Mus musculus: one gene and its partners. The main gene of each other region encodes a partner of the protein of the gene in region 3 in a complex. Links are inferred from orthologs where the notes say so. Each region holds a gene or a part of one and is shown on either strand. Other genes may lie near its edges.

Region 1 (10,640 bases), on a different chromosome or scaffold from region 3:
ATCTGATGGCTTTCACCTCTCCATCCATCCTCCAGCGCCAGTGGCCTGGTGATGCGGTAGAGATGGAGATGGCCACTGTGCTAGAGCAGTGTCCGTCTATTGTCCGCTTCGGGTACCACTTTACACAACAAGGACCACGAGCTCGGGCAGCCCACGCCATGACCCGGAACAATGAGCTGCGTGAGTAACTAGACCCCGTGCAGAGAAGGCAGGTTCGAAAGACACACTCGGTAGCAAATGCTTGGGTGGTGGCAAACATGAGTGGAGCTGAATAACAGGGAGACAGACAAGTCCTTCCCCAGATACACACCTATAGAGAAGGTAGGGGTGGGGAGCTTGGCATGATTGTACCCCTAGAGTCCCTTTATTTTCAGGTGTGTATTCTTGACTTTGTTTTTTCAACATGAAACGGGCCCATCAGATGGCACGAGGCAGCACCTTATGAGTCTGCCCAAGGAAAGGAAAGAAACGCACCCTTGCCAAAACAACAAATGGAGCTCTGTTTACGGCTCTTCCTTTCCAGGTCGTCAGCAAAAGAAGAGATAACATCACCCTTCCTTTTACCAACAAGAGATGAGAGCCTGGGACGCACAGATCCTCATCTCTCTCTCCTTTCCTGTAAATAAAATCCCTTTTGTTCACGCCGCCTGTCTCCTTGCCTGGATTGGGGTGGGAATCTTGGCGCTACCCTCCAAGGGTTACTGCCAGTTCATCAAGAGATTATTTATACTCTGGGGATCAGCAGGCAGGGGTTCAGGTTACCAGGAGAGGGGGAGCTCTGTCCGTTGTGTTCCCCATAAATCTGCCAAAGGCTTTAGTCTCTCAGCAGGGTACTTGGCCTCAGTCCTCTGTGACAAAGCTGTAGACAGAGGTGGCCAGAGCCCCTTAGTGCCTAGCCACAGTGTGATCTGTGAGAAAAGGACTCACTGGAGGCGGGGAAGGAGTCAGACTCCATGAAGGGCAGCGACCTCTTTCTGACAGACTTATTAATAGGGCACCGGGCTGAAAGCAGCTGACGCTTGGCAAGGTTTTGAGAGAAAGTGGAGGAGGGGCCAGAAGTATGGGGAGCCATGTACCTTGTAGGGAAGGAGTGGCCAGCCTGCGAAGGAGCAGACTTGAAATCCTGAGACTGAACAAGGAACCGGACTCCAGGATCAGTGTGCTCCCAGGACCCACTGCAGTTTATTTGTAGGACAAATGGGGAAAGGGGTTATTAATGTTAGTCCAAGGGGAGATCGGGGGGCTCTTCCTCATCAGAGTCAAACTCAACATTTTCATCCTTTATCCATCGACCTCGTCCATCTGGGACCCATCCAGAGCTGCGAGCAGGAGAGAAAGAGAACTGGTCAGGGAGGAGATTTATGAAAGGCTTCCTGTGCTGCGTTGCATCCCAGGAACCTACAGCATAGGAAGGAAGAACCAACCCCTGTAAGCTGCCCTCAGACTTACAGAAGTGTGCCCCTATAAAGATAAATAAGCAAATACAATTTTTTAAAAGGTTACTGGTGATAAGAAAAAAGCAGTTGGATTGGTCTGAAAACAGGCAGGTCCCGGGGAAATAGAAGGAAACCCAAGGACCGCAATCCAGCACTCACTCACCTTCGGAGGGTAAGGTAATGGTTCAGGACTCATCGTTTGGTGGGGCTCATGGGTGCAGAGGCCAAGAGAGCTGCTGACTCTTTGGCATCTGATCTCTCCCTAGGCTCAGGTTCCTTACTGATCTCTGCACTCTGGAGTTGGACCTCTGCAGTTGGCAAAGGAGGACTGGAGACAGAGGGAGCAGGGGCTTCTGGTCTGGGCAGTGAAGAACCAAAGTGTGTAAAACTAAGTACAGGAAAGCAGCAACTTCCCCATGGCCCCCAAGCCAGAAGAGCAGCGCTTGAAACTGATTTCTTTCAGACTTTGGTTTGTTTGATATTTGAGACAGGGTTTCTCTGTGAAGTCCTGGCTGACGGGAACTCACTCCGGTAGGTCAGGCTGGCCTCAAACTCAGAGATCCACCTGCCTCTGCTTTCTAAGTGTTAGAACTAAAGGTATGCATCACCACTGCCTGGCTCCAGTTCCTTAAGATCTTAAATATTCTACATATGAAAGACCTTGGAGGGCTGGTGAGATGGCTCAGTGGGTAAAAGCACCCGACTGCTCTTCCAAAGGTCCGGAGTTCAAATCCCAGCAACCACATGGTGGCTCACAACCATCTGACTCCCTCTTCTAGAGTGTCTGAAGACAGCTACAGTGTACTTACATATAATAAATAAATAAATAAATAAATAAATCTTTAAAAAAAAAAAAAAAAAAGAAAGACCTTGGAATTAGGAACTTGAGAAAAGCTGGGGCTGGAGAGATGGCTCAGTGTTTAAGACCACTGGCTGTTTTTCCAGAGGATCTGGGTTCAATTTCCAGCACCCACATGCCAGCTCACAAATATCTGTAACTCCACCTCTCACACCCTCACGGACATATATGCAGGAAAAACACCAATGCACATAAAATAAAAAATAAAGGAGAAAAAAAGGAATTTGAGGAAAAACTAGCTTAATAGTTTGTAATGGCTATTCCTAGTTGTCAACTATGTCTGGAATGAACTAAATTCCAGAATTGGGGGGCACACCTGTGATCCAGATCTTGAGGCTGGAAGACTCAGGCTTCTGATCTGGATCTTGGCATGGAGATCTTGAGGCACAGTGGCTGTGAAAAGCTTAGGTCCAGGCAAGGTATAACATGCCTTTAATCCCAGGAGGCAAGGAGAACTCTGATTCAAAGTCAGCCTGGGACAAAGCAAGTCCCAGATCCAGGTGTGGTGTACACGCCTTAATGTAGGCCACACCTTCTGCTGGAGGCCTACATAAGACCACTGGAAGAAGGAAGACTCACTCTTCTTCCACTGCTTGCACTTACTTGCCAAGCACATCTTTAGAACCTATTTATACAAGACCAGCTGAAACAACCAGCCTTGTGGGACTGAGCAACTATTAGATTCTTAGACTTCTCATTCACAGCTGCCCATTGTTGTAACCCAACAACATGACTACAAACTGTAAGTCATTACAATAAATTACCTCAATATAGACAGATATTCCATAAGTTTTGTAACTTTCCATATTCCTTATGCTCTAATACATAGTTCTAAGAGTTTTTTGTTTGTTTGTTTGGTTGGTTGGTTGGTTTGGTTTGGTTTTTCGAGACAGGGTTTCTCTGTGTAGTCCTGGCTGTCCTGGAGCTCACTCTGTAGACCAGGCTGGCCTCAAACTCAGAAGTCTGCTTACCTCTGCCTCCCAAGTGCTGGGATTAAAGGCGTCGCCACCACTGCCCGGCTGGTTCTAAGTTTTTGTCTTAAGATTTTCCAAGGCCAGGCATGGAGTGCTCACCTTTAATCCCAACACTTGAGGGATAGAAGCAGGCAGATCTTTGTGAATATGAGGTCACCTTGGTCTAAATAGCAGGGTTTCAGGACAGCCAGGGCTACAAACAAACAAAAAGTACACCACCGTGCTCTACTAATGTTACAATTCTCTCTTTTTGAATGTATTTATTTATTGCACTTTTTAAAATATAGGAGTGCTCTGTCTGCATGTGTACCTACATGCCAGAAGAGATCCCTTTTGGATGGTTGTGAGCCACCATGTGGTTGCTAAGAATTGAACTCAGGACTTCTGGAAGAGCCCCCTGCGTTCCTAACCACTGAGGCATCTCACCAAGCCCTAATGTTCCTAATAAGTATGATTATTCTACAATTTTCCACTTGCTAAAAAATTTATTTTAAAATCATAAACCACCGGGCAGTGGTGGTGCACGCCTTTAATCCCAGCACTTGGGAGGCAGAGGTAAGCAGATTTCTGAGGCTAGCCTGGTCTACAGAGTGAGTTCCAGGACAGCCAGGGCTACACAGAGAAACCCTGTCTCAAAAAACAAACAAACAAAAAACCCAAAAAACAAAAAACCTGAAAAAATGATGGTTTACGATTTCTTTTATATATATGAGTACACTGTAGCTGTCTTCAGACACCCCAGAAGAGGGCGCCAGATCTCATTATGGATGGTTGTGAACCATCATGTGGTTGCTGGGAATTGAACTCAGGACCTCTGGAAGAGCAGTCAGTGCTCTTAACTGCTGAGCCATCTGTCCAGCCCCTACCATCATTTAAAAAAAATATTTCCACAAGATTATTATTTCTCAGAATACAATCTGGAGAGCAATAACTTTAAAGTCATCTATTTCCTTCTACCCTTTTCCACTCCTGGCTTTCCCATTCCACGGACCTGTGCTTCCTCCGGCAGCAACTGTTATAGTGGGGAGCTCTGTGTAGAGCATTCTGGGTGATGATTCGAGTCTGGGTTAGCAAAGGAGCCTGGTGATGAAGAGACAGAGTTAGAGCTGTTAGGAGCAAACGTTCCCTCAAGCCTGTTGTGTGAAGTATAGCCCTGTCTAAACCACACCTGATGCCCTCTCACCTCAGTTTTGCTTTCTGTCTTCAATTCGTTCTGCTGTCTTGGATTTTGCTCTGTTCCCTTGCCTGTTTGCTTTTTGCCATAGAAAAGCTTCAGACCTGAGAACAAAAGCAAGGAGGAATGAAAAGCACAATGCCTGGTGGCTTGCTCTCCATCTCCCGCCCTCCCCACTTCTCTGATACTTACTGGACAAATGCTTCTTGCCTGCACGGTGGGCTGTCAACATGGCCAGCGTGTCTAGTACTGGTCGATGGGGGCAGATGGCACAAGCAAAGCTAGGGAAACGAGAAGTGAATGATGTGTGTGGTGTGTGGTGTGTATGTTGTGTGTTCGAGAGCCTGCAGTCGGGGTGTTCTTGCTATGGTGAGTAGGTCCTACTTCTGTCAGAGTACTCCACCACCAACTCCCAGGTTTCCCGATCTCCACCCCTTACACTTCACTTCCAGCCAAAGAGTCCTATTATACTCCTGAACTCCTTAGTGACAAAAGTTTGTTGAGCCTTTGATCCCCGAATCCCCAGGCTTGATCCACTCTTCGCTCTCACCGTCCATCCCGCAGCATCAGTGCCTCGTCCTCAGGGATGTAACTAGCCAGCAGGTCCCCAACTCTCCGTTTCTGCAGGGAGCAGGATAGGAGAAATGAGTAAGAGGGACGGATGGAAATGAAATAGTATGGATAAGGAGTCAAATGGCACACGGGGCTATGCAGATCATAGGGTAGTAGGGGTCACCACTCAGTTCTGGTCCCCTAAGCCCTCCCCTAGATGTCGCCAGAGCAACAAAACAAAACAACAGGGCGGCTGAAGGTGATCAGACTCTCACTAAGGCTTACTTTGAGCACATTGAGTTGACTCCAGTCGTCCCCTTCCCTCTTAAAAGACATAGCGACTGTGAGACTACGATAAATTCCCCTACGCCTACTTCGCTGCTCCTTTAGGCCACCGTAGAAAGAGTACACTATCGCCTTCTCTGCTTCCGGTTTCTTTCTTGTTGAATCTGTACTTCCGGGGATGATGTTCCACGCTTGCGTCGCGCGAACCGGAAGACCCGCCTCCAGCGCCCTGAGGGGGCCTGCATTTCCTACAATACTTTGAGACGCTGTGCCTTTTGGGAAATGAAGTCTTTTGGTTATTTATTTTATTTTTTTATTTTTTTGAAGAGCACACTGCTCACCTGGACACAGGACCTCACATCTCGAAGGATCCAGGTGTTCGGAGACTCAAGATCCTGTATGTGGAGCCGGAATTTCAGGGTGGGACCTTCCTGATGTGGAGCGAGGCGTCAGGGATCTCAGTGGACTATATACTACAAACTCTTGCTGTCCTCAGGCTCGTACTCCTCAGCCACAACCTACCTGGGGTGGGCCTTATTTGGAACAGAGAGGATGTGGGAGCACCCGGCATCCCGACTGTTGGATGTGGGGATACACTGAGGGAAGAGTGTTGATGAGGGTGTCTAGGGTTCAAAGGTCAGAGATCAGGCTTGCGAGGAGTTGGGGAGGGGGCGTCGAAAGTCAACCGGGTCAGCGACTGACAGCTCAGGGAAGATACTTATGGGTAAGGAGCTCGTGGAAAGAGAAATGTAACCGGCCTGGCAGACTTCTTAAGAGACGGACAGTAACTCCAGGCACGGCAAGAAGCAGCAAGAGGAGGACGACGAATGTAGTCTCTCGAGAGTCGGGAGACTGTAGAGAGACGAGAGAAGAGAAAACGAATTATCTGAATATCCATTCCTTGGGTTCGGCCGTCACTGTTACTTAGCTGGGCTTCCCTCAGTTGTGACCCTAGGTCTTGACAGTGAGGAGATGGCTTCTCCCTCTAGACAGCCTCCCCTCGGGGGGTCAGGGCTGCTGCATGGGAGCCGTGCTCGTTCTTATGGAAGCCTGGTACAATCATCCTGCTCCCCAGTGAGGGAAAGACGCCTGGAGCATCAATTGGAGCCTGGAGACACCCTGGCTGGATTAGCACTCAAATACGGGGTAACGGTGAGTCTTCCAGAATTGAGATAGTCCCGAGAAAGTGGGTGGCCCGCTAAGATGCCCCCTCTCACATTATTTAAATTCTATTATGGTCTGTTTTTTTTCTTCCTTATTTTGCTTTCACATCTCAGCAGAGCACTGTTGGGACAGATCTGCCCAACTATCCCAGTGGGAGGAGCAACTCCTGTAGATGGTGAGGGAGGTGGGTGAGTGGGGGCGGGGCTTACAGCCATTAACTGGACTTGTGTCCCTATCAACTTAAGACTGATAAACCAGTTTGATCAAGGTCGAATCACTTAAGTGTCAGAGTAAGGTTTCTGTCTGACTCTAAAGCCGGTACTATTAGCCATGCGGGGGTGGGGTAGGGGTGGGGGTGGGGATGTAGAGACTGGTAAGGAAGAGCTGACTTTTACTAGCACTCTGAAGGTGCCCATTTGTAGTTCTTATTTCCACCCCAAGGCTCTGTTTTCTTTGTGCAGAGGCACAAAACAAGTCCCCTCTACATACTTCAAGTGTTTCAGGTCATCTTTAGGAGAGGTTTGATGGGCATAAAAAATATCTTGCATTAAAGTTGCAGCCTTCCTGTCTATATCCTGTTTTACCACATACAAACAAATGTTGGGTTTAGATAAATTCCTGTGCCACTCTACTTAAAGCATAAGGTAAGCCTTTCTGGAGACACAGCATACGTTTGTCGATGTGCTCATGGAATTTAAATTCTCATGAGGAGCAGAGAAGAAACAAGAAATGCTGTAAGGAATATCCACAAGGGGTCGGAGATCCAGAACTATTGAGTCTTGCTCGGAAGTGGGAGTGGATAGTATTTGATGTGGGGTTTTGTGTGTGTGTGTGTGTGGGGGGTGGATTTTCTAGACAGTGTGGCCTGGAACTTCCGGTGTTCTTGCATCATGACTGCTGAGATTAGGAGTGTGACAACCACACTCTGAGGTGCAGGCTTAGGAGTACCGTCACCACGGGCCTTGAAGACCTAGAAACTTTCCCCTCTGTTCCCACCTACAAATCTGTTCAACCCAGTTGTTTGTATCCTTGTCTTCCAGCAGCCCACAAGCTTTTTAAGAGCTGAAATCAGTTCCTTTCAACATTGTGCCTCTAAACCCTGGCATAGTCTCAGTCATGTGGGAGTTTAAAAGATGATTGAAAGCTGCCAGGCATGGCAGTGTACCCCTTTAATCCGAGCACTTGGGAAGCAGAGGCAGACGGATTTCTGAGTTGGAGGCCAGCCTGGTCTATAGAGTGAGTTTCAGGACAGCCAGGTCTAAAAAAAAGTCTGAAAGCCAGACTTGGTGGTCCATGCCAAACTTCTGATGTTAGCCCTCAGGAGCCTAAGTCAAAGGGATGCAGAGTTCTAGGCCAGCTCCACATATAACAAAACCAGGGTACTGGAGTTGAAAGTGTAATTCAGTGGTAGAATGCAGAAGAGAGACAAGGCTAGACACTTCCTGTGGGGGCTAAATATACACAGTCCTTGAATCCTTTTTGAATCCTCATTCAATGAAGAGCCATAGGAAGTTGCTATGCCAGCAAGAGGGTTAATAGCTTTTTCTAGATATCAAGAGAAAGATGTGGGCATGAAAGAGGAAGAACAGTCACGTGTGGCCGTGGTGGGCGCAAGTATGAGAGAACACATGTGAGGTGTTTATTTACTTAATATCTGAGGTCTGCCAGGGGTCCAGTCTAGGACTGCACACACTAGGCAAGCTCTTTACCATGGAGCTACAACTCTAGACACCAAGACTTATTTACTTATTTTATTATTAGTCAAGGTCTCAATATGTAGTTTAGTTGGCTTCACACTCATAGACCTGCCTGCCTCTGCTTTCCAAGTGCTGGGATTAGAGAATTGCACTATTAGCTTGGAGTGGTAGCACATGCCTTTAATCCTAGCACAGGGTGGGTTGGTGGGGGAATAGGCAGGTGGATCTCTGAATTTGAGGTGAACCTGGTCTATAGAGTGAGTTCAAGGACATATAGGGCTACACATGCATGTATGGCCATTTGCTATGGGGTGCCTGGTGCCTATAGAGGTCAGAAGATCACCTGGATCTGAAGTTACAGACTGCAGTTGTCTTCAGACACACCAGAAGGGGACATTGGATCTCATTACAGATGGTTGTGAGCCACCATGTGGTTGCTGGGAATTGAACTCAGGATCTCTGAAAGAACAGTCAGTGCTCTTAATGTCTGAGCCATCTCTCCAGCCTCACCTCAATAATTTTTAAAAATGTGAAGGTATCCTAAGACTAAAAAGTATGAAAATTATAAAACAAGATTAATATCAGCTCTTTATATTTTAGCTAGTTTTTTATGGTGTCAAATAATGTTGTACGATTACTTAAAAACTTTGAATTGGTGGCCTAGGAAGATGGCTCATTTGGTAACTCAGTTAATAAAAGTGCTTGCCACACACACATAGTAAACCCTATAGCAGCCTCCAGGCTCTACCCCCAAGTACACTGTTTTCAACCACACACACCAATAAGTTTGGAATACTAAGCCAGAAATGTTTGAGAACATCTGCTCTACTTAGTGAAAAGGAAGAAAAAGAGCTTGCTATGTTTTATGAGGTTGGTGGATTTTACTGTCAGACATTAATTTCGTTGCTTTTGTTTGAAGATGGAACAGATTAAGCGTACAAACCGCCTTTATACTAACGACTCCATCTTCCTGAAGAAAACGCTCTACATCCCCATCCTATCAGAGCCCAGAGACTTGTTTAATGGTTTGGATTCTGAGGAGGAAAATGATGGAGAGGAAGAGGTGCGCCCGAGTAAGGATGAGATCGGATCATCTTCGGGGAGGAGGAAGAATCGAGGGTCAGGGTCGGGTCGGCCCAATGGCACAGGCCTCCCGCCTCACCAGGAAACCTCCACCCCCAGCCATGACCTTTCTGCCTCTGATTTCCTTAAGAAGCTTGACTCACAGATCAGCCTGTCAAAGAAGGCTGCTGCCCAGAAGCTGAGGAAAGGGGAGAGTGGGTGAGTCTCTGGCCGCTCCTTCTAGCTCCCTGCAGAGACCCTCTTCTTTTAGCTGGTCACAAACTAAGAAGTAACCAAAGTACCCGAGGACAGGCAAGTGGATGCCTTTCTCCCCATGTGGTCCCCAAATCATGAAAGAGCCAGTGGCATCTGGAATGGGGTAGTGGGTGGGAAGCAGGGTCTGTGGGGTCTTACGCCAGTGGTAGCGCGTGGGAGGCAGGGTCTGTGGGGTCTTACGCCAGTGTGCTGGGATGAAGCCTTAGGAGCAAGTTCTTCAGAGGGTCGCAAGACTCCATCCAACTTGTGAAACAAAGGGAGGCAGCCTCCCCTCCCCCACCTCCCCACTCACCGCTCCATTCTCAGGTCCTTGCCTTGATTTGTTGCTCTTTCTCCCTTCCCTCATCGGCAGGGTACCTGAGGAGGACACGGGTCTCTACCCTAGCTCCCCTCGGATGCAGCAGCGAGCAGTCCTAGGCCCTGTGCCACTCACCCGGACGTCTCGGACCCAGACACTGCGGGACCAGGAAGATGAAATCTTCAAACTCTGATGTCCCCAGAACTGATGAGCAAGGCAGGATGTTGAAGGACCAGCCCGAGGGGGAGAGGAGTCTGAGGTGAGGCTGAAGAACAGAGCTTCCCAGCCTGCCTCACTCCTCTCCAGCCATCTTTGCCAAGATTTCTTCAGCTGGGGACACTTAGTGGCAAGCGTAGCGAGTGGGAGCAGACCTCTTCCCAGTTCTTGGGCTGAATCTAGAGTTAGCCTTTAGATTCAAAGGCTCTTCTATGCCCTCGCTGTCCCGTTGAGCATTCCCTGGCCTTAGAGCAGGGAAGCAGAGACCCCTCCCCATCTCCAATGATCTTACCTAATTTATTTGGTGCTATATTGAAGTAATATTTATTTGCTATATCTAACTCCTTTCTCCTCTTAACTGGGAAAAGAGGGGGGAATTTCCATATCACTGAAGATAGGGAAACCCAGAACTGTAAGTGGAGGCGGCTGGCTGCTCGCCTGTCCCACTTTCCTAGCGAAGCTTGTTGCTGAGGCCTGGGAGTTGGTGATGCTCACCATAGAATGGCAGACTGCGCTGAGTTTTCCCCACTCCCAAGGTAAAGGGTGGGACTCAGTTGTAACTAAGAACTCCCTACAACCTTTCCCACGCCTTGGCTCTGAGAGAAGGCAGCGTGGTGGATACTGACTAAGCATCCTTCTTCCAGCTC
Region 2 (10,640 bases), on a different chromosome or scaffold from region 3:
CCAGGCAGTAGGGAAGTATGTCTGTAATCTTAGTGCTTCTGAGGTTGGACATGGAGACAAGTGATTCCCTGGAAGCTCATGGGCCAGTCAGCTTGTTACATTTAGCAGTGGACAACAACAAAAGACTCAGTCTCAAAGTGGAAGATGAGGACCTATAACTTCCATATGCATGCCATGCCATACATACACCTATAGTCTCTCACACAATCACAATCTAAACTGAGACTCCATCTCATTCATCCCAATCAAAACAGCTATCCTTGAGGGGGAAAAAAAAAAACAAAAAACCCTAACAAATCCCAGTGCGAGTGCTGGAAAGAGAAACTTACTGCTGCTGTTCAGGCCACAAGCCTGATAGTGATTACTAATGTCTGCATGAAGGTTTCTCAAAAGACAGAAATGTTACTGTGGACATGACCATAAAGAGAAAATTCCCATGAGGTTTTTCATATGCTACTTGACTAGCAGTTACCCTGTTGGGTACATGCGGGGGGTGGGGACACAGAAATGTCATATGGCTCGCACGGACTCAAAAGATTGGAGAGACTTGCACTTCCACGTTTACTGTGGCACTTTTCACAAGTTAGCCTAAATGTCCCTTAACACGAATGGAATAAAAGAGCATGGAATACACGCCAAATCCTGTTCATCTGTAAACATCAGATCATCACACTGACAAGGAAATTGGTAAGATGGGCAATCTCGATCCCAAGCAAACTACAGGAGACTCAGACAAGTTCCATCAAGGAAACCTAAAGGGAGGTGGGCCACTTAGGGGAAGGAAGGGATCCAGGCAGATGGGGTTAGGAGACAGAGGAAAGGGAGGGGGCTGATCAGACTACAGTATAATGACGTATGTATGGAAATGCCACAGTGAGTGTATTACTTTGAATACTAACTTAAGGGCTGTGTGTGAAAATCCCAAGGAAGGAGGTATTTATTAAGACTTGGGTATGTAGCTCAGCTGGTAGTGTTTGCCTAACATGCTCAGAAACCTGTGTTCACTCCTCAGAACTACACACAACCAGACATGATAATGTATGCTGGCAATCCTAATACTTGGGAGGTAGAGGCCGAAGATACGTACAGTGTTCAAGGTACATCCATCTAAATACTGAATTAAAGTCCAGACTGAACTACATGAGACCCTGTTCCAAAAACAAAATAAAACAAACTAGGAGCCCATCAGTCATATTGATACATGGCTACAGTCCCAGCAGACTGAGGCAAGATCATGAATCTGAGGTCAGTCTGGATTACCCAGCGAGTCAGCACCTAAAGAGAAAAAATATAAGAGCCAGTGGCTGGGTGGAAAACTGGCTAAAAGGAAGAGCTACCACTCAACCATGAAGATCCTTAAGAATCACAGCATCCATCAAGAGCAGCTGGTAACTCCAGCTCCAGGGGATCTGATGCCCTCTTCTGATTCTATGGACACTAGTAGATTGTTTCAGAGACATACATACATACACAGATACGTGCATACACAGAAACTAAGATGGCTTGCTGGGCAAAGGCAATTGGGTATTAGCAACAACCTGAGCTGGCCACCTAGATTCCATGGCTCAAGGAGAGAATCTACTCATCAAAGTTGTCTTCCGACCTACACAGATGGCCACGACACCCGTATACATAGTGTATGTGCATATACAGACAGACAGACAAACACCCACACACCAATTGGTTTCCACATGGAGAACTGATTCTTGAAAGCTGTTCCAACCTCAGTATTTCTGCTATGTCGTCAGCAAGCACATCCTCATCAGAGACCCAGAAGAAGAAAGCTAGATAGTGATGGCTCACAACGGCAGCACTCAGGAGGCAGAGGCAAGTGATGCTGTGAGTTCAAGGCCAACCTGGTCCAGAGAGTTCTAGGATGGCCAGAAACGTACAACGCTGTCTCAGAAAACAAACAAAAAAAACTAACAAAACAAACAACCCCCCAACAACAAAACAAAAACCCAGACAACAAAAAACAAGGTTTTTTGTTTTGTTTTTTTAAGGGGTGGAAGCACATGTTTATGCATGCCTGACATTGTCTGTCTTCCTCACATACTCCCATCTTACACTTTAGGGAAGTCTATCACTAAACCCACAGTTTGCAGATGGTGTTTCCAGGTTCCATTTCTACCTCCTAAGGACTGGTATTACAGGCAGACCACAAGGCACCCAACTGTCATTAGGTTCTGGGGTGCTAACTCCAGTCCTCATGCTTGAAAATGTTTACCCACTGAGACATTCCGCAGGCCAAACAAATTAGCATTATCATTTGGGAAGGAACCTAAATCTTTACAGATGAGAACAAGTAAGTCTTTTCAGTATGCTACTATTTTACCTAACGACTAATTTACCAGGTGTTTGTGGTCTTTCCCAAACTAAGATTCCCAAGAGCTTCCTATTAGTTTTTTACATTTATCTGACTTGTACTTTAAAGGTATCTCACTCTACCCTCCCTCCTAGTCCGCTCTTGAGCCACTCTTGCTATCTAGCCTGGACAGACCTTGTCCTTCACTCCACCCTCTTCAATCTCCTGCTGGGTTACAGGCACAGGACACCATACCTGCTTTCCACATTCTCATCTTAGTGATAAGATTCTCAATTCTTCAGTGTCTCAGTAATTGCTAAGCAAACAGAACTACAAGCATGTTTGCAACCTCCTGCACTTACAAGTGCTGGTGTCGCAGTACTCAGAAGTCAGCGGTGGGTTTTTGTTCTGTAACACTGGGGATCTAACAGGGCCTCACGTGTGACAGACAAGCACTTAGAACTGATGAGTACATCACTAGTAAAAAACAAAACTTGTTTATTTTCAATTACCCCCTCCCCCCCAGCCTTTTCCACCAACCTTAGCAGCTTACCTGTGCAGGCAGAATTCTTAATCTGCCTCAAGAACGTACAGATCCATGCTCCGAGAAAAGCAAATGTCAAGGGGGACTGGAAGCCCTCAGAAACCTTAAATACCGACCCTAGGTAAAAGCATTTTGCCACCAGAATGAAACAATGTAAAATTTTAACAAAAACTTCCTACAGCATTTATTGTCACCTAATAATAATGTGCAAGTAAAACAAGTTGAGTAAATGCAGGTTGCAGCAGACATCTTTAAACACGCTCAAGGGGTCTTCTCAACATCCTACAGACTTCACCATTCACTGCTAGTTGGAAACACTTTGGAGCAGAGTAATATTATCTCCTTTTAGCATGATCCGACCTGTAACAACAAAAAAAGTGTTACAAAAGCTGTGACTAATCAGAGAGAGACATTTACTTATCTTTCAGCCTCAGAGTTTGGCTCTGAATAGTACTGAGGCACTTCTCTCTCTCATAACGCTATGTGAACATTTTCAATCGTCCATATTGAAGGCTTCCACCAGGTCTACTGGGCTTTCAGTAACAGAACGAAACAGCGCTGTTTTAATGAAACATAGTTCCTATAGTCTAGGTCAAGTGAAAAGGCCCAATACAGCATCTCCCAATACTAAGTTCATGAGGGTTTAGAAATGAGTGTTTGTCAAGTATACATTTCAATTCCATCTGCAGTAGCCTGAGTTCTTGCTGCGTGAGACAGTGCACACCTGCAGTCCCAGTACTGGAAGGCTAAGGTAAGATCGGACAGCCTGGGTTATAGAGGTAGAGCACCTCAAAAGCAAATAAAAACAGAGTCATTTCTTAGAATCTACCTTCCACCTATCTAGCTTTGGTCAGTAGGGTTTGGGAAAGAGATACCTGAACTCCATCACTAATAAACGCACGTGAGCACTGACTATTCTAACAAAAGATAACCTAACCTCAGTAAAGTATCTCTTAATGAGACCATGGGTCCTCTTGTTCCCTGGGCTTTCTGAGTTTATGTGAAGCACTACGGTGGTCATTGGAAGCAGAGAGGACATGACTCATGCACTCAGGGAGCATGCAGTCTAACAAAGAGGCAACGATAAAATAAATGATTCACTACAGAGTCAACATATCACATCTTGTGTTCTCCCATCCCAGAAAAACTAAATTAAATTTGGGTTTCCTAGAGAAAGTTTGATCAGTGAACAATACACGTAGCAATATTTGATGGAGTCAAGTGTAATAACCATGGCGTGATAATTGTGTTAACACTGCCATTTAGAAAATGAAGCAAGGATCTCAGAGTTAAGGCCAGCCTGGGCTAAACAGGAAGATCCTACCTCAAACAGAAAGTGAGGCCAATGTGCAGGCTTAAGGAATTGAAAGAAGAGCTGGGCAATGGGGGCACACAGCTTTAATCCCAGCACTCCAGGAAGCAGTGAGCTCTGTGAGTTTGAGGCCAGCCTGGTCTACAGAGAGTTCCAGGACAGCCAAGACTACAGAGAAACCCCCAAACCAACCAACCAGCCCCCCTCCCCCCAAAAAACAAAAATCCAGCCCAAAACCCTCCAAAACAAAAAACAAACTGAAAGGAGACAAGCATGGAGACTGCTCAGAAAATGGGACAGTGTGAATCAAGATGAGCGAACATCAGGCCAGATAAGAAGGCTCTTGCCAAAACATCACACTGTCCCCTCAGGAAAAACAGACAATGGAAAATTTCAAGCAAAAGCTGGTAAGGTCAGACCCAGTGTTTCAAAAAGATGGCTACATCTGGAGAGCAACTTCAAATGGATGAGGGAGCTACAAAAGTTAGTAAGTTAGTGGAAACTACTGTTCCGTTAGGAAGTGATCAGCAAACCCACGCTGAACAGTGTAAGCAGGCAGTGAAGTTGGCTTCTGACAGGCTGCCTTAAAAACCTTCTATGTGGAAAGTTAAACAGGTTCAGAAGAGGTTTGGGCTATACACATAAATAAGGAAGTCAATGCCCAGATTAGTACCTGGAGCTGTGATCTCACTGAACACTAGAAGCCTAGAACAGAGCCTCTCAACCTTCCTAGCGCTGCAGCCCCTTAATAACAGTTCCTCAAGTTGTGCGGACCCTCAACAATAAAATTGTTTTTATTGCTAATTTATAACTGTAATTCTGCTACTATTATGAATCATATTGTAAATGTCTGTGTTTTCTGATGGTCTTAGGAGACCACTGTGAAATATCGTTCAACTCTCAAAAGGGTCATAACCTACAGAATGAGAACTGCTGGCCTAGGGAAAGACTGTGAAGGGCGAGCTGGAACCCAGCCTCAAATACTTAATGGCCGGGTAAAAAAGGATGAATATAAAGAAGTCTGGAAAAAAAAAAAAAAACAGCCAGAGTTGAATAAAAACTGACATACTATGTCACAAACCCAAGATATCAAAGTATTGCAAGGAAGTATTGAACTGTGTCAAATTCTACTTAATGTTAAATATAAGTGAACACAAAAAACGACATCAGATTTAACATCCTTGGCAAGGCATGGTTGCGAATGTCTATGATCCCAGCACTTGGGAGGGGGAGGCAGGAAGGCCAGGAGTTCAATCTGTCACTCTCAGCAAGACTGAGAGTAGCCTGGGCTACCTGAGACCCTATCAATGAACAAAACAAAGGAGTGGGTAACAGAGTAAGTGGCAGGAAGATGAATTCAGAAGTGTGCTTCTCCCTTCAAATGTAACTTTATAGCATGAATTTTCAGCTATAGGCCATTCAAGTCTGCCAGTGAAATAAACAGAAATCTGTAAAGCCAACTATCTCCTTACCCAGTTGTTTTCTTGACTTTGTTTTAGAATGAATCTCTTCTGCATCATCTAATACGAGGTTCATGTACTCATCAAAGCCCTGGGAAGGCAAATGACAATCATTTTTAAGCAAATCACATCCGACCATTCTAAAAGAATAATTAGATTCAGAAATATCAACAAATTTTAGAATTTTATGCTATCACTGATTTTTCAACACAAACACCTACAGCCTCTACTTACTTATTAACTACTTTGTATTCTTTTAAAGTGTTACCTGTATGTATTTATTTTTGGATCGATGCGTGCACATTAGGACAGGTGCTTAAGGAGGGCAGAGGCACTAGATCCACCTGCCAGAAGTACAGGCAGTTGTGATCCATCAAAGGTATATACTTTGAACTGAACTTGGTCCTCTGCAAGAATAGTAAATACTTTTACCTGTTGAGCCCCTTACTTCTGAGACAGCGTCTTATGTGGCCTATGTTTGCCCTAAACTTCCCACACAGCCAAGGAAAGCCTTAAACTCACAAATCTCCTATCCTCTCTATTCCAAGTGTTGAGACTACAGGTATGTGCCACCATGCCTGGTCATATGTGACATGCCCAATGCGTGGGGGCATTTTCATTCCTTTTTGGGGGCAGAGATGGTGTTGAGGATTAGCGCACCGACTTCTACCCATTAGGCAAGAGGTTTACTACTGAGCTGCATCCCCAGCCTACCTCTTTTTAAATAGCAAAGAAAGCTAGAATGAGATCCAAAGTACTTCAATCCCTTAGAGGTAAATATTCGCCAGGAATGCCTGCTGGACACTACCCAATTCGGCATGTGCACACATGAATTGCCTTCTGTCACTGCACACCCATGTTCCTCACTAACACGACTCCCACTAACTACTGTGCTTGTTTACCAACTCCTAAGAGAGTATTGATAGACACTCTTGATATCTACATAAAATAACAAAATACTGTGCAGCTTTGGGAGGAAGGGTAGGTACTAGGGAGACATGTCAATTGGTAAAGTACATGCAGTCATGAGTTTGGATCCCTACTCAAACAATGCAGTGCACAGTGGCCTGCAGCCGCACCTAGTGCTGGCCAACTAGTCTTGTTAAATCCATGAGTTCCAGGCTCAAAAAGCAGAGAGCAATAAAAGATACCTCTAGCACATACATCCACACATATGAGTATGTACAAAGCAACCCCACTCACTCCCTTGATGCAAAAAAGAAAAAAAAAAAGTGAGGCTGAGCACGTCTGTAAATCTCAGGAGGCTGAGGCAGGATGGGAAGTTCAAGGCCTTTACTGGGCTACATAGCAATTTCTTGCCTCAAAATAACAATGCCAGAGCTGGACAGTTCAGTAGTTAAGAAGACTGGCTTTTCTTCCAGAGGACCCAGATTCAATTCCCAGCACCCACATGGCATCTCACAACTGTTGATAACTCCAGTCCCAGGGGATCTGGTGCCCTCACACAAATAACAGTAGGCAGAACACCATTGCACATAAAAATAAATAAATCTTTAAAAAAATTTTTTTTCCATTTTCATGGCTATTAATCTAAACATTGAAGAGGCTCAGACAAGAGGATTTCCATGTGTAAGTCTCTCTTAAAAGACTCTGCCTCACACAAAGGAAAAACAGAGACGGGAGAGGTGGTGGAGTTACAAATCCTTCCTTGCTGCTCTTGCAAAGGACCCAGGTTTGGTTCCCAGCACCTACATGGAAGCTCACAATCACCCATCTTCAGGTGAGCCAACAACTTCTGGCCTGTTTGGGCATTAAACACACACAGGCAAAACACTCAGACAAATAAATCTAAAATAACAACAAAAACTTATTGCCATGGTAGCTGTGTGGTAGAGCAGGTACTTTGATCCCCAACACCATCACGATAGAAGCCTAACAAACCATAAGTCTCACCCCCACCAGCTCTATTCTGGCATGATCTAATCCAGAATGCAAGTCCTTTATCACTCCCCGCCCCCCTCTCATTTTGTTTTTGTTCCCTCTCCTCACAAACGAAGCTCTTCTTAAAAGTCTTAACTCTCCCTTCCTTTTTTTTTTTTTTTTTGGTTTTTCAAGACAGGGTTTCTCTGTGTAGCTCTGGCTGTCCTGGAACTCACTCTGTAGACCAGCCTGGCCTCAAACTCAGAAATCCGCCTGCCTCTGCCTCCCGAGTGCTGGGACTAAAGGCGTGCGCCACCACCGCCTAACCTCTCCCTTCCCTTCCTCTTAAGAGAAGTATTATCTAACCCTATTAACCAGAGCAAGGAGAAAAGGCTAAATAAATAACTCCAGCTCTGAAGAGCTTTCTTTGGGTTGGGTCCTTGACGCCTTGTATATTGTTCTTACTGGCCATCTTCTGAGATGTCTTTTTTAATAACAACTTGAGGAAAAATAGCCTGGGTACTCACAATAATACAACCTTCTATCCGCATATTCACTTGTTCATACAGCCACACCTGAATTCGAGATCTCTGAAATAAAAATAATGACTTTAGAAATGTAAACAAATCCCACTCCATTACTTTGTTTCCACAATAAACGACTTATCTTAAAAATTCCAATAAATATAAGCCAAAAACTAGAACTAGTTAGTCTTCATCTAAGAGCTAGCAACACTGGTTAACCTGCTGAGAAACATTTAATAAGTGCTCGGGCAGGCCTGTCCAAACTAATTTTCCTACTCTGAAAATTTATTTTTGCTTCTGGCATGAATACACTTACAGTTAGAACTGTTCACAGGATAGTACAAAGCGAATCTGGCGATTAAAAATTACAATGGCTTAAAACGATTTTTCATCTGTGTTGTAACACTCTAAAATAAACATCGCTAAAATCTCCTCAAAGAAGAGCATTTGCCACTCGCTTCTCTGTATATAACGCCCCCACTCCCCCAAACCCCGCTTTGGTGTCTTTTCTCCATTCTAAGTCCAACTATGGAAAAAGCACTATGCAACTGTCACTGCTAAATCCGATGACAAATCGTTCTTACAGAGTAATTTTAATAGTAAATATAATTACATTGTTCTTACAGAATAATGGTAACTGTGTGCATCCTTAAGTCAGCACGGACATATTAATAATTAGCGCTTTCCCTGTGACCTTATCCTCAACTCTGGTTCTCCCCCCCCCCCAATTTTTTAGTCTAAGCACTAGAAACAGAGAATTTGTTACAAAGAGTCAAACAGGCCCAACTTTCATTTCAGTAACAGTAAGGAAACAACTTACGTACATTTTGCAAGTATCTGAAGATAAGGTTCTGCAGCACGGCGATCAAGGAAAAGAACTACACAAACAGCGGAGCCTCCGCTCCCAACCGCGCCGGACTCTCCAGCGCCCCAAGGTCCGGCCGGGCTACATCCGCAAGCACAAACGACCGCCGGGAGCATGCGCTCCCTCCCCACCGCCCTCGTTTCTCCAACCTTCCCGATGGCCCACATCCTCCTCTCCTCCTCGGTATCCCCCGCTTTCATCGCGGATCGCCAGCCTGGCCGGGTCCACCCGGAGCCCGCCTTCCGCCTCCCGCCTCCCGCCGCCCTTCAACTCCGCGCGCTTTCCTGCCTCCCCGTTCGCCCCAGGGCCTCACGGGAAGCGGCCCGCAGCGGGCTGCCCGGCTCCCCGCCCACGCTCACGGCGCCTACGGCCCCCAAAGCCCCGAGTTCACGCAGCGTAGGATACGATGGGCTGCACCATCACCTTCTGCACCTTTTGGCCCTGGCCGCGGTACGCCATGGTGGAAGTCACAAAGACCACACGAGTAGGAAGGCCGCCTCGGAAAGCGACTTCCGGAAGCAAGACCCGGAAACGGAAGTGCAGTGGTCGTCGGCGACGCGGGCCGGTCCTGGGGAACGCCTCTCTAGGCCAGGAGCCGCTTTTTCTCTATGCTGATAGACTCCGCCGGCGGCCTTCCGACTCAACCGCTCTTTGAAGTCGAGGTCGGTCCTACAGCGCCACCTGGAGGTAGGCTGAGAGGCTTGCCTCTGCCTAGGTGCTCTTCTGAGAGCTGCTCTGGAATTTAGAGGCGGCATCTTGTCCAGAACCATCTGCAGACTCCCCTTATTTGTTTTGGGCCCCAGAGCTAGTCTAGATGGTCATGCCCGAAGCAGTGGTGGAGTTGTGGCTTGTTCAATAACAGATTCAACCCTCATCACCTTTATGCAGAGTTAACTGTTGCAGTGGCAACTGAAGATGGCAATCTAACTAGCTTGGAGGTATTGAAATCGGCTTGTTGGACTCAGATCTCTCTCAGTTGTGTGACCGGTGATAATTAAGTCATTAGGCCTCAGCATCTCCGTCCCGCAAGGGGACAGGAGGTGAAGATTCAGGGAGGTAGTAGTGCACAGGTGCTCCTAGAACACATCTGTAATCTCAGCTTGTGGAAGGCGCAAGGTGAGTATGACCTTAAGCTAAGTAGTACGTTCCAGATCTAAGCTACATGAGGCCTTGTTTCAAAACAAAACAACCTACATGGTATACAACCTGATAAACTTAAGGTAAGTTAGAAATGTAAGTTAAAAAAAAATGCATTTAATGCAGATACCTTGGGCCCAGGGGAGATGATTCGGTAGGTGGGACATGAGGTCTGTCAACCAGCACCTACACAAAATTACATGCCTGTAATTCCAGAGACAGGAAGGAGGGTGCCTGGGCTGGATGGCCAACTAGTCTAACTTAATCGCCAAGTCCTAGGTTCAATGAGAGACCCTGTCTCAGAAGGTAGGGTGAAGAGTGACTCAGAAGGACACTTGATGACATCCTTTGGCCTCCACATGCACACAGAAAATTGTTGAAAATGTATATGCCTAGTCTACTCAATGCCATCGCTTAGCAACACAACATAGCAGCCTTTCTTGAAGCTGCAGCTGCCCCCCACCTCACCAGAAAGTACCTAGAGCTGCTTACCAGGGAAATGATCAAAATTTAAAATGCAAAGTCTGATTTTTTTTTTTTTACAGAATTCATATTGCTTTCACACCATCTTTAGGATGAAGAATTGTAAGTCAGGAGCTATCTGGATGTGTG
Region 3 (10,540 bases):
AAGTCCCAGGAAATAAAAGATCTTTTCTTATTGAAGTTGGGAAGGAGCACTGGGAACTCCACCAGCAAGCCCTCCTCTCTTGGCACCTGAATTGTGTAGCATGTTTAAAATCCACTGTTCTAGAGAGCATAGTGTAGAGAAGGAAGGAGTGTCGTGGAGAAAGATGAGGAAAACTTAGGAACAATTTGAGTGACAGTGAGTACAAAATATTGTGTGCATGGAGAAGGAAAAAGGACCCTGTTGGAAGAGGAAGCATCTAAAAATTGGGACTTGGGAAAACTCCTGTCATGCTCTTAACCTTGAAGGGATTTATCCTTCAGGTACGAAGAACAGCAAATTCAGGAAAAAGTGGCGACCTTTCGACTCATGTTGCTGGAAAAGGATGTGAACCCTGGGGCCAAGGAAGAAACCCCAGGGCAGAGACCAGTGTGAGTGTTGTTCTCTTTTTTCCTTTTTTGGGATCTATGAAGTTACAGCTACTGCTGCCTTTTCTCTTTACCTGGGTAGGATTCAGTTTTGCCTTCATCTTCCTTAGTCCCTAGCCTAACTGTTTAATTCCTCCTTATAACTAAGTTCTAAATTAGGGCTCTGATTTTTGCTCTTTTCAGGGTAACTGAGACCCATCAGTTGGCAGAACTGAATGAGAAGAAGAATGAACGACTCCGTGCTGCCTTTGGCATCAGTGACTCCTATGTGGATGGCAGTTCTTTTGATCCTCAGAGACGTGCTCGAGAAGCTAAACAAATAGCTCCTGAGCCTCCCAAACCATACAGGTACTCAGGAGAAAGGCCTGAATCCCTTCCTGGATTAAACATATTCTATTATATTTATTACTAGAAGACTATTTCCAAACTTTATTTTTATTTGTTTTGTTTTTTGAGACAGTATCATTATGTAGCTCTAGCTGTTCCTAGAACTATGTAGAACAGGCTGGCCTTTAAATTAGAGATCTATCTGCCTCTGCCTCCTAACTGTTGAGATTAATGGCATTTATTTGCCATGACCCATGGCTTATTGCCAAACTCTTAGATTTTGTTATTTTGGAGTCAATTTTAAAAAAGAAAAATGTATGAGTTTTTGTTTATATGTATCCTTTTATAAAATGCCCTGGTGCCCCTGGAGGCCAGAAGAGGGCATTGGATTCCCTTGGTGCTAGAGTAACAGATGGTTCAGCATCCCTTAGTGCTGAGAATAGACCCCTAGCTACAAAAAGCAGCCTATGCTCTTAACTGCTTATCAGTTCCTATTTTTACTTTTTTGTTTTGTTTGTTTTTCGAGACAGGGTTTTTCTGTATATAGCCCTGGCTGGCCTGGAACTCACTCTGTAGACCAGGCTGGCCTGGAACTCAGAAATCCACCTGCCTCTGCCTCCCGAGTGCTGGGATTAAAGGCGTACGCCTGGCTTATTTTCACTTTTCTAAAAAATTATTTAAGCTGGGTGTTGTGGTACATGCCTTTGATCCTAGTACTCCAGGCAGATGTAGGCAGATCTCTGCGTTCCAGTATAGCCAGGGTTACATAGTAAGACCTTGTCTCAAAACAAACAATAAAACTGGGTGACACATGACTTTAATCTCAATATTTTGAGGGCAGAGGCAAGTGGATCTCTGTGAGTTGAGGCCACCTTGCTCTGCAGTAGGTAGTTCTAGGACAGTCAGGGATATATAGTGAGACCTACCTTAAAACATAAAACACACACACAGATGCACACACCCAGGATTTACATCCGAGCCGCCCCCCCCCCCCCCCGGATTTTTCTCTGTAGCCCTGGCTGTCCTAGAACTCACTCTGTAGAACCTGGCTGGCCTTAAACTTAGGAGATCCACCTGTCTCTGTCCTCCTAGTACTGGGATAAAAGGCGTGTACCACCGCTGCCTAGCAAATTTAAATCCTTTAATTCTGAAGTTTTCAAGCACAAAAAAAATTGGTGTGTAGCAGTTGTCCTAAGGTGAAAGTTATCAGTGAACTGCTCCATTTATTTATTGGGGTAGTATATTTATTCATTAGAGTGATTTTTTTTTTAAATGTATATGAGTGCTTTGTATGCATATAGATTTTGAATGCCAGAAGAGGGCATCAGAAGAGGGCATCAGATTCCATTATTGTGAGTGGGTGCTGGTAATTGAACTCAGGACCTCTGGAGCCATCTCTCCAGCCCCTAAGGTGAAATGTTTTAAAGAAATATGTCTTGCTTGGTATCTAGAATCTCTTTGCCTTTTTCAGCCTTGTTCGAGAGACCAGCAGTTCTCGCTCACCAACTCCAAAGCAAAAGAAGAAGAAAAAGAAGAAAGATAGAGGACGGTAAGTTGGTTGGAGAGTTACACTAGTATCCAGGGGTTACTGCCTGTTGTTGGACTTTTAGAAGTTGAGTTTGCTTTTAGGTAGCAGAGAATCAAATTGCAGTGACAGTTGAGGGAACAGAATTACTTTTTAGGTTTCAGCTGAGAGGAAATGTGTATACTTAGTGGGAAATCATTGATTATGTAGCCCAGCCAAAAAAGGAAGCAGTATTTTGGATTTGAATTTTATGCTTACTGATTGAATGTAAAAGTGAATTAAGTGTGGCTGTTGATGGTGTTGGATTTTTCTGGTGCTTTTGAAGCATTTTTGAGAATTATAGCCAGAAAGAAAGCCAAGTAGAATGACTTGCTTCTGAACCCATTTTAGCAGGTCAGAGAGCAGTTCTCCTCGACGAGAGAGGAAGAAGAGTTCAAAGAAGAAGAAGCACAGGTATGAGATAAAAAGTTCTTTTTGTTGTTTTGGTTTTTAAAAACAACAGGGTATTTGCATAGCCTTGGCTGTCCTAGAAATCAAAATATAGACCAGGCTGGCCTCTGATTTGGCAGAGATCTATTACCTCTACCTCTGCTGATTAAAGAAATACAGCCACCACCTCTGGCTAAGGTGGAAGTTCTTGGGGGTGATTGGAGGTAGCTCTTAAATTGAAGGGTAGGTGTGGGTTAATAATGATTTTCTGTATTTTTCACAAACAGGTCAGAATCTGAGTCCAAGAAACGGAAACACAGGTAAGAAAGCTTTTTGTTCTTAGGGGAGACATAGTGGTATATGGGAGTGGTGAGTTACTGTTTGATGACTTTGTTTTACTCTATATTTGGTCTGTAAGATGTGTCCATCTCCCCCTCCCCCTTTGTTTTTAGTAGAGCACAAATCTTTAACCTACTTGTTATCAATAATACTTGCTTGGGTTGTTACTTTCATTTCACTTCAGATTCAGATTTTATTACTATTTTAAAATTACTTTTTAAACATTTCCTTCTTTTCTAGGTCTCCTACTCCAAAGAGCAAACGCAAATCAAAGGACAAGAAGAGGAAACGGTAAGTGTGTTTGGGGGAAGTAGAAAAATGCTTCCCTTGGGGAAGGATTAAAAATAATTGTGCCAGAGAGAGAGAGAGAGAGAGAGAGAGAGAGAGAGAGAGAGAGAGAGAGAGAGAGGGAGAGAGGGAGAGAGGGAGAGAGAGGGAGGAGGTAGAGGCCAGCCTGGTCTACCTCTGGTTCAGGAAGTGAAGGCCCTTTTTATCAAACCTAAAGACCAGAGTTTTATCACTGGAACTTAACGTATTGGAAGGGGAGAGTGAACTCCTATAACTTGTCTTCTGACTTCCTTTTACATACTTAATAAACTAAATGTAATTTTAAAAATTTTTTTAATATTTTTTGACAGAGGGTCTTTTTATGTAGTTCAATTATAGAGTCCACGCTCTAGATGAAGCTGGCTTCACCTTATAGAGATTGACATGACTGCCTCCCAAGTCCTGAGATTAAAGGCAGGGCCCACGATGCCAAAGCCAATTTTGTTTTTAAAAAGAAATTAGTTGGGAGAACTCATGCTAGGTATGACAGTCTCCTGAGCTTTGTGGTGGTTTTCCTTCAGGTCTCGAAGTACAACACCAGCTCCTAAGAGCCGTCGAGCTCATCGGTCAACTTCTGCGGACTCTGCTTCTTCCTCTGATACTTCTCGTAGTCGGTAAGGGGTGGTCCATGAGGAATGGAGGGAGAGGGAATGATGGGTTAATCAATTTAATATTTATTGAGCGCCCACGGTGTGCTAGGCGCTGCACAGACCATTCCGAAGACACGGTCCCTGCCCTCTAGGAGCTGACAGGCTAAAGCAACAGGATGGACAGACATATACATTTCCCCTTGTCTTTTTTTATTTTATTTTATTTTTATTTTTTGTTTGTTACGATGTATATGGACTGCCAGAATAGGGCGGGGGTGGTTTGCTGGTTTGGTGGTGTCTGAGGGAGAAAGGAGTCCTTACCCTGGCTTCCTTAATCGGGGAAGGCTTCCTGAAGGAGGTGGGCTCAGAGGTGAGTTGTGAATGAAGTGGGTAGGGAAGGGCCTGGGTGGAAGGTTTGGGTATATTGGAGGGTGGTGAATAATGGGGTAGAGGGACTTTTATTATTTGGGATTATATTGGGAAGAGAGAGAACAACAAAAAAGGACTTGTATTTTCATTTTTGAAAATGAATTGAGTCATGTGACTAAGAACGTTTGTTTATTGTTTTGTTGGTTTTTTTTTTTTTGGTTTGGTTCTTTTTTTTTGGAAAAAAAAGGTTGTACATACAGGAAAGTGGATTGCTAACTGGGGGTGGAGGGGGTTTTCTATTCTTCTTTGAGCTGATTTTCCTGGTCTCCCCTGCCCTCCATTAACTCACAGGTCTCGAAGTGCTGCTGCTAAAATTCATACAACAGCCTTGACTGGGCAAAGTCCTCCCCTTGCTTCAGGGCATCAAGGGGAGGGAGATGCACCTTCTGTTGAACCAGGTGCCACCAACATACAACAACCTAGTAGCCCAGCTCCCTCTACAAAGCAATCTAGCAGTCCTTATGAAGACAAAGATAAGAAAGAGGTATGTTCTGAGTTGGTAGTGTTCATTGGGTTGCAGGGATTTATTTACTCAGGGATGTGCCTTAAATGGGCAAGTGTGGTACATAATGTAGTTTATTAGACAAAAATCTTGTCCTTTAGATTATGGTCAGGTTCAGAGATCAAGGTTGACAAGCAGCTATAGAAAGCAGTTACATGTGTGGGGGTGTATGTGAGTGGATTGGGTGGTAGTTTCAGAGAAACCAATAGTGTAAGCAAATATGAAGATTTTTAGACAGTATTCAAAGAAGATACAGAATGAGAGAAAGAGTTCTCTTCAGTTGGAACTCAGCAACATGGACAAGTTTAGTGGTGCATAATGCCATCTATAAACAACTACTGAGAAATACTTGAGTTCCTAGCCCTACATTCCTCATTCAGTTTCCAAGTCCTTTTACACACCTACAAGTATTTTAGAGTTATGACCCACTAAATTGTGAAGTCTTCAGAATGAAACTTCATTGGATATTAGTAAGTTTTATATCAGTAATTTGTTTATATCCATACAGAGAACAAAATGGTTTATTTTTTTGAAACCAGAACATTTATTTTATGACTGATTGAAATCCTAAAGGTGAACTGGATGCTACAGCAGCTAAAACTGCCCTCTTGGGTTGAGATGTTGTTCCTTCAAGGAATCCATGTCTGAATGTGGGATAAACAATTTTAGGCTCCTCATCCACCCAGACGCAGTAGTGCTTTGTCTCTTTTAGTCTTGGGACTCCAATAATACTCTTGCTCTTGCCACAATAGCCACATTTGCCACAGGTCAACTTCTGAAGGTGGTGGTTAAGTGCCTTAGTGCCATAGAAGTGGCACATGTACATCGAATTATGACCAAGGATGATGTTTTCTTTTGTCATCTTGCTTCTGCCCAACAAAAAGTTTTCTTTTTTTTTTTTTTTGATTTCTTTTTTTTTAAATTAGGTATTTTCCTCGTTTACATTTTCAGTGCTATCCCAAAGGTCCCCCATACCCACCCCCCAACAAAAAGTTTTCTAAAAATTACCTTTAACTTTACTACTTAAAGTATCTATATCCTTTTTATTGTATGCTTGTCATGAGTTCTTACATTTTTCAATCCTTTGATTTGATGCCACCAATCTGAAAGCATGAAAGAATTATCTTTTTAGTAGTTCCTGTTTTATATTCTCTATTCTAGTTCTGTGGCTGATTGTTTCTACTGGTTTCAGTAATTAATGTAACTTAATATTTCCCGTATTGTGTCTCATTTTAAAGATAAGTTACAAGAAAACTTTGCTGCTTGCTATGGTGTTTGTGGTGTTTTCTGTAATTAAGCTGTTTTTATGGTTTGGCCTGTTCCTGTAAGACCATGGTGAATTAATTTTTGTGTGTATGTATGAGGGGGAGGCAAATGTGTTACATGTGTTTGGAGGTCAAAGGACAAAACTACCTATATATGTGTTCTGTGGATTGAACTCTGGTTACCAGGCTTATGTTGCAAGTGCCATCTCATTGACTGTTGGTCAGTATGTTTGTTTTTGAGACAGGGTCTCCTTACATAAGGCCCTGGCTGTCATGCAACTTAATACATAGTTCAGGCTAATCTTAAACTCACAGAGCTCCACCTGCCTCTGTCTCTGAAGTACTGGGATTAAAGGCATATATGGCCATGCCAGGCCCCTCTTGATAAAATTTAACACATTATACACTTTAAAACCTTGTGCCCATTTGTGATATTTTAAGTCAGTCCATATTCAGGTGAAAGTTATTGTCACCCAAACTTTCTCTTTTTGTTTAATTATACCTTTTTTGGGTGGTGTTGTAGTGTTCATTTGCAACCCATACACAACGTCAGACACTTTCCCTTGAAAAGAAAAAAACATTCAATAGAGATGACTTGCTTGATGAGTTTAAAACACTCATCAAAAGATATTGAGTAAGTTTAAGAGAACAATGTACAAAGCAAAAAAAAAATTAAGAGGTAAGATAAAAAAAAAGGAAAATGACTTAGTAGGTGAGTAATTGGTTGCTAGTGATAGTCTATGTGTAACCCCAGTATGCAAAATGGAGACAGGGCTGTCTGTCTATAAGGTGTACCACAGGGCAGGTGGTATTTTGTTGGTAATGCATTGTTTACATTTTCTTGTTTCTCTGAATTACTACTTGAGGTTAGAGATTGTTTATATGGTCAGGTTTTTCCCTTGCTACTTTATTTTCTCATTGTTAAAAATGCATTTATTTTGTGTGTGTGCATGTGATACATGCACATGTGCAGTTCATAGAACAATTTTGAAGAGTAGGTTTTCTCTTTGCCACCTCATGGGCCCATTAAGCTATCTTACTGGCTCCCAACTAAGCATTGCATATTGTCTTGTTACTGAGTATAACTATGGGTAGGGAAAGGGTCAATTGGTATAAGAAGTATATAGTGTAAAATTTTATTAGAAACTCTTCGTATCTTATAGGATAATGAGGTTTTGGTGTTTTTTTTACTATTCCTACTTCTCTTTTCACTCTTAGAAATCTGCAGTTCGACCTAGCCCCTCTCCGGAAAGGAGCAGCACAGGGCCAGAACTACCTGCCCCTACTCCGCTCCTTGTTGAGCAACATGTCGACTCCCCACGACCCCTTGCAGCAATCCCGTCCAGTCAGGAGCCAGTTAACCCCTCATCTGAGGCTTCCCCAACCCGGGGCTGTTCACCACCTAAGTCTCCTGAGAAACCTCCCCAGTCTACTTCCTCAGAAAGTTGCCCACCATCCCCTCAACCTACCAAAGGTTCTCGGCATGCCAGCTCTTCTCCTGAAAGTCTTAAACCCACACCAGCTCCTGGGTCCCGTCGAGAGATTTCTTCTTCACCCACATCTAAGAATCGCTCGCATGGCAGAGCAAAGCGGGATAAATCTCATTCTCATACCCCATCTCATAGAGCAGGGAGGTCTCGTAGTCCTGCCACTAAGAGGGGACGGTCTCGATCTAGAACCCCCACCAAGAGAGGTCACTCCAGGTCCCGGTCCCCTCAGTGGAGAAGGTCAAGATCTGCACAGAGGTGGGGAAAATCTAGAAGTCCCCAGAGGCGTGGCCGTTCAAGGTCTCCTCAGAGGCCAGGTTGGTCCAGGAGCAGAAATACCCAGAGAAGAGGCAGGTCTAGGTCAGCAAGGCGAGGCAGATCACATTCTAGATCTCCAGCTACTAGGGGCAGATCCCGATCTAGAACACCAGCTAGAAGGGGTAGGTCTCGGTCCAGAACACCTGCCAGGCGAAGATCACGATCCAGAACACCTGCCAGGCGTAGGTCTCGGTCTAGAACACCAGCTCGCAGGGGCAGGTCCAGATCAAGAACACCCGCTCGCCGCAGGTCTAGGACACGATCACCAGTTCGAAGGAGGTCTCGGAGTAGATCCCAAGCTAGGAGAAGTGGTAGGTCTAGGTCCAGAACACCAGCCAGGAGAAGTGGCAGGTCAAGATCTAGAACACCAGCCAGGAGAGGGAGGTCCCGGTCTAGAACGCCAGCCAGAAGAAGCGCTCGATCTCGGTCTAGAACGCCAGCCAGGAGAGGGAGGTCACGATCCAGAACACCAGCACGACGACGATCTCGAAGTAGAAGTCTTGTGAGACGTGGAAGATCTCACTCTAGAACACCACAAAGAAGAGGACGATCTGGCTCATCCTCAGAGAGGAAGAACAAATCTAGAACATCTCAGAGGAGAAGCAGATCCAACTCAAGCCCAGAAATGAAAAAATCTCACGTTTCCTCAAGACGGAGCAGGTCTCTTTCTTCACCACGATCCAAAGCAAAATCTTTGAGGCGAAGCCTTTCAGGTTCCTCTCCATGTCCTAAACAAAAGTCACAGACACCAACCAGGCGAAGTCGTTCTGGTTCTTCACCACCTAAACAAAAGTCAAAAACACCACCAAGACAGAGTCGTTCAAATTCTCCTCAGCCTAAAGTAAAATCTGGAACACCACCAAGACCAGGGTCTGTAACAAACATGCAGGCTGATGAATGCACTGCAACACCACAGAGACAGAGCCATTCTGAATCATCACCTGATGGTGAGGTGAAATCAAGGACCCCATCAAGACAAAGCTGCTCTGGGTCTTCTCCTCGAGTGAAATCTAGCACACCTCCAAGACAGAGCCCATCTAGGTCGTCATCTCCACAACCCAAAGTGAAGACAGTGATATCACCAAGAGGAAGAAGCCATTCTAGCTCCTCTTCTCCAAGTCCTAGTAGAGTGACATCTAGGACACCTCAGAGGAAAAGCAGATCAATATCTCCTTGCCCCAAGGTAGACTCTAGATTAAGACATAGCCGTTCTAGATCCTCCTCACCAGATTCCAAGATGGAACTGGGAACACCACTGAGACACTCAGGATCTACATCTCCATATCTAAAAAGCATGCTCCAGACTCCACCAGATCAAAATCTTTCTGGATCAAAGTCACCCTGTCCCCAGAAGTCTAGGGATTCACCAACAGGAAGCTCTGGATCTTTTCACCTCTGTCCAGGTGTAACACCTAGTAGTATAGTACCAGGAGAGAGCTGTTTTAGCGCCTCATTTGTGCAACAAAAAGGACACACTCAAACTTGGCCAGATACTTCAAGTCCAGAAGTCATGCAGACTCAAGTGGAATCTCCATTGCTGCAGAGCAAATCCCAAACATCTCCTAAGGGTAGCCTTTCCAGATCTTCATCTCCAGTCACTGAGCTGACAGCCAGATCACCAGTAAAACAAGATAAAAGTGAAATATCAACAGATCCAAAGCTGAAGTCAGGAATGTCTCCTGAGCAGAGTAAGACTAAACCTGACTCTAGCATATATCCTTTAGTAGACTCTAAATCTTTTCTGGTGCAGAGCAGATTGGAGCCTTCTGAATTAAAAGAGAGACTGGGTTTAATTCAAGAGGATGTTGCATCATCTTGTATACCAAGAGACAAATTTAGTCCTACACAGGATAGGCCTGAGTCTTCCACAGTACTGAAAGTCACACCTAGAGTACTATTAAAAGAAAGAAGTGGAGCTGGCTCACCTCCAGGCAAAAGAGACCAAAAAAGTTTATTACCTAATTCAAGTCAAGATGAACTAATGGAAGTAGAAAAGTCTGAGCAACCTTTAAGCCAAGTTCTACCCAGTTTATCTCCAGAACATAAAGAAATGCCTGGAAGTAACATTGAGTCATCTCCTGAAGTAGAAGAAAGGCCTGCTGTATTGTCTGCTCTTGACCAAAGCCAGTCACAGCCTTCAAAAGCAGCAGAAACCCCTGCAGTGGCTTCATGTTGGAGTGGGCCACAAGTTTCTCCAGAGCATAAAGAACTATCTCATTCTCCCCCAAGGGAGAATAGCTTTGAGTCATCTTTAGAGTTTAAAAACTCAGGCCCTGTTTCAGAAGTAAATACTGGCTTTTCTCCTGAGGTTAAAGAAGAATTGAATGGATCATTCCTTAATCAAACAGAGGCAGATCCATCTGTGGACATGAAAGAACAGTCAAGGTCTTCCAGGCGAAGCAGTTCTGAGTTATCCCCAGAAGTAGTGGAAAAGGTAGGATTATTTTCAAGTCAGAAAGTATCTTCGCCTGTACTTGAGACTGTACAACAAAGAACACCTTCAAGAGAAAGAAGTAGTTCTGCATCTCCTGAACTGAAAGATGGTTTGCCTAGAACGCCATCTAGGAGAAGCCGGTC

What was found.
Region 1: Srrm2 (region 3) and Scnm1 share a complex: the UniProt entries of both Homo sapiens proteins name them as parts of the minor spliceosome. The link is inferred for Mus musculus from reciprocal best matches to the Homo sapiens genes SRRM2 and SCNM1.
Region 2: Srrm2 (region 3) and Snrpe share a complex: the UniProt entries of both Homo sapiens proteins name them as parts of the minor spliceosome. The link is inferred for Mus musculus from reciprocal best matches to the Homo sapiens genes SRRM2 and SNRPE.

The regions. Positions count from the first base shown.
Region 1 is NC_000069.6:95,128,565-95,139,204, forward strand, and holds Scnm1 (sodium channel modifier 1), read right to left. Parts: upstream 5,449-10,640; 5' UTR 5,332-5,448; coding exon 5,281-5,331; intron 5,065-5,280; coding exon 4,994-5,064; intron 4,725-4,993; coding exon 4,636-4,724; intron 4,548-4,635; coding exon 4,453-4,547; intron 4,350-4,452; coding exon 4,261-4,349; intron 3,463-4,260; coding exon of another isoform or gene 3,423-3,462; exon of another isoform or gene 3,242-3,422; intron 1,795-3,241; coding exon 1,629-1,794; 3' UTR 1,600-1,628; intron 1,320-1,599; coding exon of another isoform or gene 1,220-1,319; 3' UTR 1,155-1,219; downstream 1-1,154. Other genes in the region: Tmod4 (tropomodulin-4), read left to right, coding at 36-180, 524-546; Lysmd1 (lysM and putative peptidoglycan-binding domain-containing protein 1), read left to right, coding at 6,253-6,432, 9,061-9,422, 9,832-9,970. UniProt on the Homo sapiens protein: As a component of the minor spliceosome, involved in the splicing of U12-type introns in pre-mRNAs. Plays a role in the regulation of primary cilia length and Hedgehog signaling.
Region 2 is NC_000067.6:133,600,868-133,611,507, forward strand, and holds Snrpe (small nuclear ribonucleoprotein E), read right to left. Parts: upstream 9,414-10,640; 5' UTR 9,351-9,413; coding exon 9,297-9,350; intron 8,878-9,296; coding exon 8,851-8,877; intron 8,093-8,850; coding exon 8,030-8,092; intron 5,713-8,029; coding exon 5,634-5,712; intron 3,210-5,633; coding exon 3,154-3,209; 3' UTR 3,004-3,153; downstream 1-3,003. UniProt on the Homo sapiens protein: Plays a role in pre-mRNA splicing as a core component of the spliceosomal U1, U2, U4 and U5 small nuclear ribonucleoproteins (snRNPs), the building blocks of the spliceosome.
Region 3 is NC_000083.6:23,807,746-23,818,285, forward strand, and holds part of Srrm2 (serine/arginine repetitive matrix protein 2), read left to right. Parts: intron 1-320; coding exon 321-428; intron 429-608; coding exon 609-773; intron 774-2,223; coding exon 2,224-2,301; intron 2,302-2,667; coding exon 2,668-2,730; intron 2,731-2,993; coding exon 2,994-3,026; intron 3,027-3,285; coding exon 3,286-3,336; intron 3,337-3,893; coding exon 3,894-3,986; intron 3,987-4,071; coding exon of another isoform or gene 4,072-4,114; exon of another isoform or gene 4,115-4,682; coding exon 4,683-4,875; intron 4,876-7,376; coding exon 7,377-10,540. UniProt on the Homo sapiens protein: Required for pre-mRNA splicing as component of the spliceosome. As a component of the minor spliceosome, involved in the splicing of U12-type introns in pre-mRNAs.